3 linked regions of the Drosophila melanogaster genome follow. The protein of the gene in region 2 interacts with the protein of the main gene of each other region in a pairwise test. Each region holds a gene or a part of one and is shown on either strand. Other genes may lie near its edges.

What was found.
Region 1: the proteins of a6 (region 2) and CG3032 interact in a two-hybrid assay, tested with the Drosophila melanogaster proteins (one large-scale study listed by BioGRID).
Region 3: the proteins of a6 (region 2) and Recs1 interact in a two-hybrid assay, tested with the Drosophila melanogaster proteins (one large-scale study listed by BioGRID).

Annotation. Positions count from the first base shown.
Region 1 is NC_004354.4:7,012,166-7,015,920, reverse strand, and holds CG3032 (uncharacterized protein), read left to right. Parts: upstream 1-2,039; 5' UTR 2,040-2,337; coding exon 2,338-3,633; 3' UTR 3,634-3,682; downstream 3,683-3,755. Other genes in the region: CG4593 (uncharacterized protein), read right to left, coding at 1,315-1,944.
Region 2 is NC_004354.4:1,694,075-1,697,829, reverse strand, and holds the start of a6 (a6), read left to right. Parts: upstream 1-1,940; 5' UTR 1,941-2,290; exon of another isoform or gene 2,291-2,298; intron 2,299-2,355; 5' UTR 2,356-2,357; coding exon 2,358-3,587; 3' UTR 3,588-3,755.
Region 3 is NT_033777.3:14,152,303-14,155,717, reverse strand, and holds Recs1 (Recs1), read left to right. Parts: upstream 1-1,888; 5' UTR 1,889-1,958; coding exon 1,959-2,753; 3' UTR 2,754-2,833; downstream 2,834-3,415. Other genes in the region: CG31533 (uncharacterized protein), read left to right, coding at 1-961; CG44215 (uncharacterized protein), read left to right, coding at 1,286-1,402; CG42500 (uncharacterized protein), read left to right, coding at 3,166-3,396.

The sequences.
Region 1 (3,755 bases), 5.3 Mb from region 2:
TTGGTATGGCATTATCAAAAGGACACGCAGCCTCATCAAGTTCTTCGCATGCCGCATTTTCGGGGGCTTCCCCATTGTTGTTTGGCTGCCATTGTTGTTGCGAACAATGCCTGAAAATAAAATGTCCGATAATGAGTGCGTTACCGAGCCGAAAAGAGTGCGGCTCTTGCTGACACAAGATTTGCCAGCCGTGCAGCCATTCATTTCCATGTGCTGACAGCAAATTGTCCAGAAACTCAAAAAGGCAACAAGCCGTTGAAGCCATAAAACGGTCAGCAAACGGCAGAGCCCCCAAACGGCGCCCAACTATAAACATAAGCAATCATAAAGATGGGCAAAAAAAAAAAAAATATTAACTGAAAACCCAAAACAAAAAAAAGGCTTAAGCTGCAGATGCTGTCAGAGCCGATCAAATTGTGGGAAATGTGACAGATGATAGCGCGAATTGTCTTCGGCACAATCAAATGGAAATCAACCGATTCGGAATGAGTTTTTAAATTTGTATGCGGGCATTTTTGAAATTTACTTATGGAGTTGCCAGACTGTTCGCTTCTCCTAATGTTAACCAGCCTCTGCTGATAAGTTTACAGACATGTAAATAAAACGAATATATGTTTATTACAGTTTCATATCGATAACTCAAATTTTGAATTGAGCTTAACACGCCACCTGTGACAAAGTAAACTAACTATACACTGGCAAGCAGTGCAGTTGCTCACAAAATACCCGTTACTCGTAAAGTAAAAGGGTATACTAGATTCGTCGGAAAGTATGTAACAGGCAGAAGGAATCGTTTCCGACTATATAAAGTATATCTATTCTTGATCAGGTTCAATAGCCGATTCTATCTAGCCATGCCCACGCCGTAAAACCGCCCAAAACTGCCACGACCACATTTTTAATAAGTGTTTGGATGGTTTTTCACAATTTTATTAGTCGCTTAAATTTCTATCGATTTAAAAAAAAAATTTCATCCACGCCCAGTCTAACGCACTAAAACCGTCATTTTTTCCCCAATATTTTTCGATATCCCAGGAAAATGATTAAATTTCGCATTCACATTAGCTGAGAAAATGGTATAACTCGACTATAGCATTCTTTCTTGTTATTATTATTATTATATTTACAATCTATATTTTTTTTTTCTCACACTGCAATTCTTTGGCAATGCCTGCCGCAAACGTTCTAATGAACCAAAAAGATGGCATTTACAAAATGATGTGCGATTGATAGAGTAAGAAAGGTCGAGGATGGCAAAGGATGTTTTGGGTAAATGCGAGGGTGCACCAGGACTTGGTCCTGCCCACCCGGGGACTACATGAAGTCATCCGACTCGTTGCCGGCATCGTAGTTGGTGCGCATGTTCTCCGATTTCTGGAGGGACGCATAGCTGCGCAGCTCCGCCTCCAGCTCACGCTGCTTGGCAGCCTCCTTCTCCTGCTCGCGACGCTCGCGCTGGATCTTCTTCTGATCTTGCCGCTCAGCGGCATCCCGCGCCTCGCGCAATCCCCGAAAATCGGGATGCTCCTCCTCCGTTTTGGTCCTGTTCAGGCGATTGACAATCTCATTGATGCGCTTCTCCAGGCGAATGCGACGCACCGCCTTCTCGTTGTGGTAGGCCACCTGGCCGGGCTCCATGTCCGGGGTCTTCTTCAGATTCTCCCACATGGTGTACACCACCTCCAGGTTGTTCACCTTGTTGCCCTGAATGCTGTTCGCCTTGCACAACTGAGCGGCGTCCACCAGCACATCGGTGGGTATGTCGTCGATTGTCTGGCCCTTCCGTAGCCGCAAATACACGTGGGCCGAGGACAGGTCGTGGACATGGAACCACACGTCCTCCGGCCAGCCCCATCTGATGAGCTCCTCGTTTTCGTGCTTGTCGCGACCCATGTATAGCATCGCCGGCGGCTGGACCACATTGCTCTTGAAGTAGAACACCATTGCGCCAGATTCCAGAGGACGAACTGCAAATAGAATAAAATATGTTTTCTTGGGAGGCTTGATTCAGGTCCACCTCTGGCTCAGTGTGACCAGACGACGTCTTGTCTGAAATACAAATGAAATACAGTGGAATTTGCATAGTGCTGATTTCTGTATCACTTAGTATATATATAAATTCCGCTTTTAATTTGGCTTTAATAACTCAAATTTCTTTAGGACACCGTTTTCACAAATTCGTCTACTTATATTAAATCAGAGTTGTCAAACAGTTATTGTTTGCTTTTTGAAGAGAGCACTGTAGTTGATGTTCTTCTTCTTTCACAAAGCCACAACAAGCTGTTGGAACGCCTAACAAAAAGCGTTTTGAATTGAATTTTTTCAAAGAACCACAAAATGCCTTTAAATCTTACCCGGGAATCCGTACGAGAACTCTGTTGCACATGCCTGCTCCAATTGGAGAAGGAACCCTTGAAGACAGAGCTCCAATCAGATGAGATTCCAATCAGCCAGGAGCTGCAGCAGCTGCTCAACATAAATCTATCGCAGGATGTGGAGAACCAGGACGCCGACCAGCAGTGGCTGCCCAACGAACTGTGCCTGGAATGCCGCAGCGCCGTGCAGAATTTCGAAAAGTTCCGCAGGAAAGCCGACGAGTGCAGGAAGCAGCTGCTGGAAATGCTGAAGAAAGACCCACGGGAACCCACTTTCGAAGTAGTCTACGATGGCAGGGAGGAGGACCAAGAGTCTCTGCATGGTCTGGAACCACCAGAACCCGCTCCCGACCCAGATCCCATCGATGAGCCGGCTATAAAAAGTGATAAATCCCCCCGAAAGTCCTTCAGGGGATCAAGGAACACCCTGAAGTGTTCTGTGTGCCGGCGCAGCTTTGCCCACCAGATCACCCTAGCAGCGCACATCCGTAAGGTGCACGAGGGCAGCAAAAGGCCCTTCCAATGCGATCAGTGCGAGAAGGCCTACAGTTTCATGGGCGGTCTGTATACCCACATTCGAGAGGTGCATGCCCCCAAGGAGCGACGCCATCCCTGCGACCAGCCAGGCTGCGAGAGAATCTACACCAGCCGCATAGCCATGCAGAAGCACAAAAGGCTGAAGCACAGTCCGCGTGACCGCGATGCTTTGAAGAAATTCATCTGCGAGCAGTGCGGAGCCAGCTTTAACCAGTCGGCGAATCTTAAATACCACCTTAAGACAAAGCATCCCACGGAGGACGAGGTGGCCGCCAGGGAGGGCGGCGCCGGAGAGCGCCATTTCTGCGACATTTGTCAAAAGGAGTTCCATTCACGATACACCCTCAAGTACCACACTTTGCAGCAGCACGAGGTGCAGGAAGAGTTGCCCCACGAATGCCAGGTCTGTGGACGCCGGATGGCCAAGAAGTTCATGCTGCTGCAGCACATGCTGATGCACTCGAACGACAAGTTGCCCTGCGAGCACTGCGGCAGAAGATTTGCCAGGCGATTCGAGCTCGAAGCCCATGTGAGAGCAGTCCACTTAAAGCTGAAACCCTTTCCCTGTCACCACTGTCCGGAGAGCTTTGCTTCTAGGAAAACCCTGCGGCACCATGAGTACATACACACGGGTGAGAAGCCCTACATTTGCGACACCTGTGGACAGGCCTTCCGGCAGCAGACGTGTCTTAAAAACCACCGGAAGGTGCACGAGAAGTAGTCTTAGCTAGCCTTAGTGGAAAAGATTTTAAAATAGACTGATTAAGTGGAAACGTGGCGTCTTTTGAATGTTCTGGAACAGGTAACGCTCTTCGTAGGACATGAAGGTGCTATGCCAACAAC
Region 2 (3,755 bases):
GGCCAAGGATAAGGATGAGGATGAGCCTGAGCATCCTGGAGCAAGCGGAGAGGAGTGGCGCGGAGAGGAGGTCTAAAGCAAAACAACTGCGGCAGACGATGGCGAAAACAAAAAGACAATGCCAACTTGACTCGACTCGACGCAACTCAACTCAACACCTGAGGAAGGCAAACACTTGAAGACGCGAAGCGGGAACCCCATTTTCCGCCATCAGGACGATGAGCACCGGGATGAGCAGCGAGGACGTGCATTCATTCAAATCGACTCAGTGCCCCTTGCGCCTGGCCTCTTGCTCGTCCAACTCCTCGCAAGGAATTCATTTTAATGCACAGGCGGGCCAGGCTGGTCGTCCCAGCCAGGAAACGATTGCAGGCAGACACGGATGGGCCACGGGGTGGGGTCGGATGTTGGATGTCGGATGTAGGATGTCGGATTCAAAGCCACCAGGGAGAGTCGCTTAAGGGTGCGTGTGGTGCGCCAAGATGTGGGTGCTGCTGCTCCTGCTCCTGCTCCTGCTCCGCACTCCGCGGCCTTAAACGGCCAAAGTGCAATCCAGAAACACAACACAAACAGTCAAAGGAGCTGCAGCTGGCGCAGCCAGGACTACGGAGGTCCTGTGCTGCCAGCCAAACGCAAAGCACCGGCTACAGTCGAGTCGAGCCAAGTCAAGACCGAGTCTATAATTTTTGTTGTGGTTCCTGTCTATTGTCTATTGTCTCTCGCCGCCCTTCTCCCTTTATCCCCCAGTAAACTGGTATCCTTCGCCAAGGGCAGACACATCTCCGTCTCCAGCTCCAACGCCTTTGCTCCTTGGCTCCTGGCTGCTCCGCGAGCTGGGGAAATGAGCCATTCGCGTGAATTACTGAAATCGGATCTTGCCCGCCCCGCTCCCCAGCGGACCGTACTTGACTCATGGCTGTTGCACACCCTTAAAGCTTAAAGCCAGATGTAAATGAGTGCCCAACAATGTACAATCCGATCCGCCGATTTGTTCATACAGCTAGTCAACATAACTTTGATCTTAAGCTATATGTATACCCAGATATATGAATATTTGGAAATATGAGATCAAGACTGTAGATCAAGTTGTGGAGTGGAGTATCGAGTATCAGTAATATGTTTCCAATGGTACTACTCTAGGCCCCTACGCCTGAACGTTGATTACTTTTATTTATCAGATTGCTAGCTTTTCGCTTGTCTCTAGAGAAATGGGTGAAAGGGCATACATAAGGCTACTTATTAACAAAAAAATTTCTTATTTTTGTACTAAATGCCTTCTAACAGTTATTTTCATTTTGAAATATCCCACCCAAAACTAGTGCTCCACTTCTGATCGCAAGACTCCGCTTGTAAGGCCTTATGTTCCTTTCAACCCTGTAGTAATTTGAACGGAAGTTTTGGGGCTTCACGATTTTTGTGGTTAATTTCCAGGCATCCTAAGTCTGCGAAAATTAATCGAAGGCATGAAAAGCCCAAGGGCGGTTGCTATATCTACATCCGCATCCGGAGGCGACGATCTGCCAACTGACTCCAGCTGGAGTCGGTGTCTTCCCTATCGTTCCGGTCCTCGTACGGATGTGGAGTGAAAGCTCTCCCAGATGTGAGTGAAAGCTTCTGAAAACAGAGCGCCGGCGCCGATTGAGTGCTTCTCAAAATTGTGGGTGGTGCCAAAATTAGCTTGAGTGCTTTGTCTTGAGATAAGAGTGTTTTACTTAATAGGAATTTTATCGGGGCTACCTGGTGTCCAAGTCGCTGGATTTGCTGGTGATCCAAAGCACTTGTATCCTTCTGTCCTTTGCTTCGAAGCTTCATTATTTTCTCTAGCTGATTTTAAATAGCGCGCCCAAGTGGCGAATGCATTATCGATAACTACCGACAGATACTGTTTGGCCAGTCGACGTGCACGGTTGCACGCAGCGTGGACTATCGAGAGAAGCGTTATCGATGTGTGGTCGCTTATCGATGCAGTTTTATAAACAGAACTCTAAAGTACAACAAAAGCACAAATTAAGCAGCTGCCGCGCGAAAAAACAACCATCTCGGCCCCGCTCGCATCTCGGCATGTCCAGCGGCGGGAGGCGCAGCGCCTAGTCCCGCGCCTCCGCTCCTCTCAAGGAAATCCCCCTGCGCCGCCACGCAATTATGCAAGTTGCAGCAGTGGATCTAACTGTACTCGCCGCCAGTGGAACAGCAAGAGGAGGAGGAGGAGGAGCCCCACGGGCCCGAGCCCATGACCCTTGACAACCCGTGGCAGGCACCGCCACCGCTAGAAGACGAGTCCACACACTCGGTAAATAGGTGCCCACCAGTGGCCGACCAGGCGTCACAGACTAACTCTTCTCCTGCCGCCTATAGACATGAACCAGAAACATTCCGAACCATTCTACATATCGCCCCGGCTGTTCGACAACCGTCGTCTCAAGCGGCGCCGCTGTCGGTGGATGGAACGCCTGCTTGAGCACCAGCGGATCTGCATGGCCCGGATGCGCGACCAAGTGGCTCTCGCCTCCAAGACTGACCGGCAGCTGTCCCATCTGCAGCGGCGCCATGTCGCCTCCACTTTGCAGCCGGACGTGACCATCGACCTGCTGTCGGATGACGATGAGACCCCATCGGCCGGACAGCCCGCTGCAGCTGGCCACAATCGCCTCCTGATTCCTGCCCCAGGGCACCGAGCACATAGAACGGGCAGAAGGCAGGCGCCGCGCAGAGCTGCCACCCACTCATACCCAGTGACCGACAGCATCCTGATAACCAGCGATGACGAGCACAACGAGCAGGAACCCAGCAGCACGGCAAGAGTGCGCTCCCAGCTCTCCATGCGCTCACCGCCACCGCTCGCACCGCTCACACAGTCGGAGACCATCGAAGAGGTAACTGTTTCGTTGGTGCCGCGCACCTCCACCACTGCCAACTGCCTGACGCGGGTGTCAGGTCACCCCAAGCCGTGTCGAGCGTCGACGGCGGCCAGCAATGGATTCGCCACCGCCGAAGGCGGAGAGGGCGGCAATGAAACGGGCTGTTTTCTGGAGGTGGACGTGGGCGGAGGCATCACAGCCACGCTGCCGGACGAGACGACCGTTCACACGGTCATCGCAAACCGTATTTACGAACTCTCGCTGAGCAAACTACGCGAAGGCCTGGCTTTTAGTGGAGTGCCGGAATACACGAACGACCTGATGCCGGAGCAGCTGCAGAAACTGTCACCGGCATTGCGCGCCAAAGTGGCGCCCTTGGTGGCTCCCTCGCCGCCCACGCCCATCTCCCTAAAACTGTCCAGCGACCTCAGCATATCACTGATCTCAGACGAAGACGATTGCGAAAGCACCGGTCCACATGTCAACGGAGGAGTCGGCACCGAACCGGTGCACCCCGTCGTGGTGGCTGCGGCGGAGGCACACGCTGCCGCCAAGCTGCTCAAGCAGCAGCAGCCACAGCTCTCGGTGGTGCAGCATCTGCAGTACGTCGGCGGCGGACTCGCAGCTCCAGTGGCTCTTGCCCTTCCGGTGATGGCAGCAAATCCGACCTCGTCTGCTTCCGTTGTTGCCTTGCCGCTGCAGCTGCCGCGGCGCCGAAAACTGGGATGAGCTGGATGACTGATGACCGATGACCCGCCAGAACCGAGTCCCCATCGCCATAATATCATTCCCCGAGCCGGAAGCACGGCATAGACTTTAACTAGCAGTGGCTAGAAGTGCAAATATGAACGTAGGTTTAGCGACAACACATCACTATTTCCCAGTTATCCTTGAATC
Region 3 (3,415 bases), on a different chromosome or scaffold from region 2:
AAACTGCATTTCGTCCTCAAGCATTGTGTCTCGTCGCCATGGTTGGAACTGGACAAAAAGTTGCGAGGCACGGAAGAATGGCTGGCGGCCAGGTGCCATCCTACGATCCTCTGGCCATGTGATGCGTCACTTCCTGATGCGAAGTAGAGATCCGAATATGTGCGGCAAGGTAACAGCTGATTACGAGGAACAGAAACGATTTGGCCATCCCGTGCTCAATATTTGCAAGCGAAATGGTAATATATTCGTAACCCTTCGTCCACTGCCCACTTTGGGTATGAAACAGAAACCCATAACGTTCCGGATCGTCAAGAGCGATATGGCGGTGGCACTGCGCCAGATCAAGCGTGCTCTCAAGGATCAGGGCTTCGAGAAGTGCAAGTGCCACCAGTCCCTGATGATGTGCACCTGTCGCGATGCCTTGGATAAATTTCACCTGAATAAGGCTCTCAAGAAAGAGTGCCAGAAGCGTTTTATAGAGCCATGTCCCGACCACTTGGTGCTTACCGACACAAGTGAGAGCGATTTGGAGTTCGATCTGGATGTGACTCCGCCGGCGGGAACTCGTAGACCGAAGCGCAAAGCCCTTAGGAACGTGGTGAATCATAGCACCCAGACTGCAATGAAGGAGCCACCAGTTATACCGCCTCCATATCCAGTAGCCCACAATCACTTCTATAGGGCCTACGATTGCGCAGCAGGAGATCGGTATATGGGCACAGCCTTCGGCGATAATATAGAGACCGTTTTCGAGGATGGAGTCTTTGGATACCGGGGTGGTGGCCAGCATGGAAAGCCCGTAATCTGGCGACACCCGAAGGTGTGGGGCAAGAAGGCCCAGGCACCACTCCCGATTGGAACCGCTAGGAACGCCATCGATCCTTACCGGTATACCAAAAATGTTTGGAAAGAACTGCCGCGAAAGATAATACAAAAAATGAGAGCAAAATCAAGGAAATAATTGTATTCTTTTATTAAAAGTCAAAATGTAATAAGCGTGTTTTATTTCTCTTAAGCTACAATGGCAGCCGTTTGGAATTATAGGAATTAGTATAATAGTATTATAAATAATTTTATTTTATATTAGGGAGCACATTTTTTGTGATTGTTAATGACGCAATCCAACTTGTTTTCAAAGTATTGCTAAAATTCTATTAATACGAGCATAAGAATTTGATTAAATATGCTAATTATATAGAAATTATAAACTGGTCTCAATCGACTGCAAACGGTAGTATAAAAGCGCCATGCCAACTGTTAGACTGTATTCATTAAAGTTACCAAAATGAAGATCTTCGCTCTGTGCGCCTTTTTGCTCCTCATCCTGGCTGCCGTCCAGGCCAATAGTTCTCCTGAGACCAGTGCGATCTCTGAAGGGAACCTTAAGAAAACTGCTGGATAATTTATAATTTCACGAAAGCTACTTGAATATTGGAATAAATATTCTATTTAGCAGCAGAATTTGTTGTATTTATTTGTATGCCCTTGCAGAGGGTATAATGATTTCAGACAGAAGTTTGCAACGCACTAAGGGGTACATTTGCAACCATTTAAAATATGTATAAATAATAAGTATTAACAGCAGAGTGTATATAGCCATATAGTCATTTAGTTATCCGTAAGTCCGTTTTTGCTCAAATTAGTCACATATTTAAATCTTTACATAAAATTGTTGTTTGAATTTAATAAATACGCATTACTGCAAATGTATATAAGACGGAAGACAGTATTGGATATATATTATTATAATATTATAATATTGTGAATTTTCGAATTCTAAAGAAATGAAGTTAAAGTTATGTTTATGATAGTTACTAATTATGAAAAGAAGATTTATAGTTTCTAAGAAGTAAATTCCATTTAACGTTGACTCTTCTGTCATACTATACTTCAATTTCCGACAAAGGTTATTAAATTAAGAATTAGCAGTTACTTGAAAGTTGTGTTCGAAGGACACAATGCTGGATATTTTACAAGAACCAGTACATCAGTATGGAAATCGGAGCCACCAGGCGGAGTGTATTCCGCTGGGAAGATATACAGCTTACGGATCGGAAATCGGACAGGATGATCCAGACAAGGGCTTGGGATTCTGCAGCGCCAGCATCCGGCGAGGATTCATCCGGAAGGTGTACCTCATCCTGTTGGCCCAACTGATCACTTCCCTGGTGGTTATAGTTTCACTTACTGCTGATAAACGGGTGCGTCTGATGGTGGCAGAAAGCACCTGGATATTTGTGGTGGCCATACTAATAGTGGTCTTCTCTCTGGTGGCTCTGGGCTGCAATGAGGATCTGCGTCGTCAGACCCCAGCTAACTTCATCTTCCTATCTGCCTTCACGATAGCCGAGTCCTTTCTGCTGGGCGTGGCAGCCTGTCGTTATGCCCCAATGGAGATTTTCATGGCCGTGCTAATCACGGCGTCAGTTTGCCTTGGACTCACCCTTTTTGCTCTGCAGACGCGTTACGACTTTACCGTCATGGGTGGCCTCCTGGTGAGCTGCCTGATAATACTGCTCTTCTTTGGAATTGTGACCATCTTCGTGGGCGGACATATGGTCACCACCATATATGCCTCATTGAGCGCTCTGCTCTTCTCCGTTTATTTAGTTTACGATACACAATTGATGATGGGAGGCAAGCATAGGTACTCCATTAGTCCCGAGGAGTACATATTCGCTGCCCTAAATATTTACATGGATGTAATGAACATATTCCTGGACATTTTGCAATTAATCGGAGGATCCGATTAGTTGCATGAAATCTCACAAACACACAGATTATTTTACATCTGCAATTCGACGTCGAGTATTAATAAATCAAATTCAGCAGCAAGCCTATTTTACATTTACTTAAAAGCCTAAATATAGGCTTTAAAAATTTGGATATTTTTTATACAAAGCACAGTTGCCATAAATAATATAATTAAACTTGTTTGCACAAACAAATGCAGAAATAACAAGAATGACCGGTATTCAATGATCGCACCTGTTCATAATCGCTAATTAACGGGCAACCTATATATTGAAATACATTTCGTATAATTTAGTGTTTTGTGACCCAAAAAATAACGAAAAATTATAAAAAAAAAGATAACTGTAAACGGTTACGATATTAGGTATATAAGATCTTCCAGCACCTCAAAGTGTATCAAATTTTGAAACGATGAAGTTCTTTGCTCTGTGTGCCTTCCTCCTCATTGCCCTGGCTACCGTCCAGGCAACTCCCGGTGATCTGCGCCATGTTCCTGTAGGACACGGAGGACACCCAGTCAATGCTGGCCACGGACCTGTGGGACACGCTGGTCCTGTTGGACACGGTCCAGTTGTAGGCCATGGTCCAGTTGTAGGCCATGGTCCAGTTGTGGGACATGGTGTTCATGGTCATTCTGGCTGAAAACTTATCTGAATCCTAC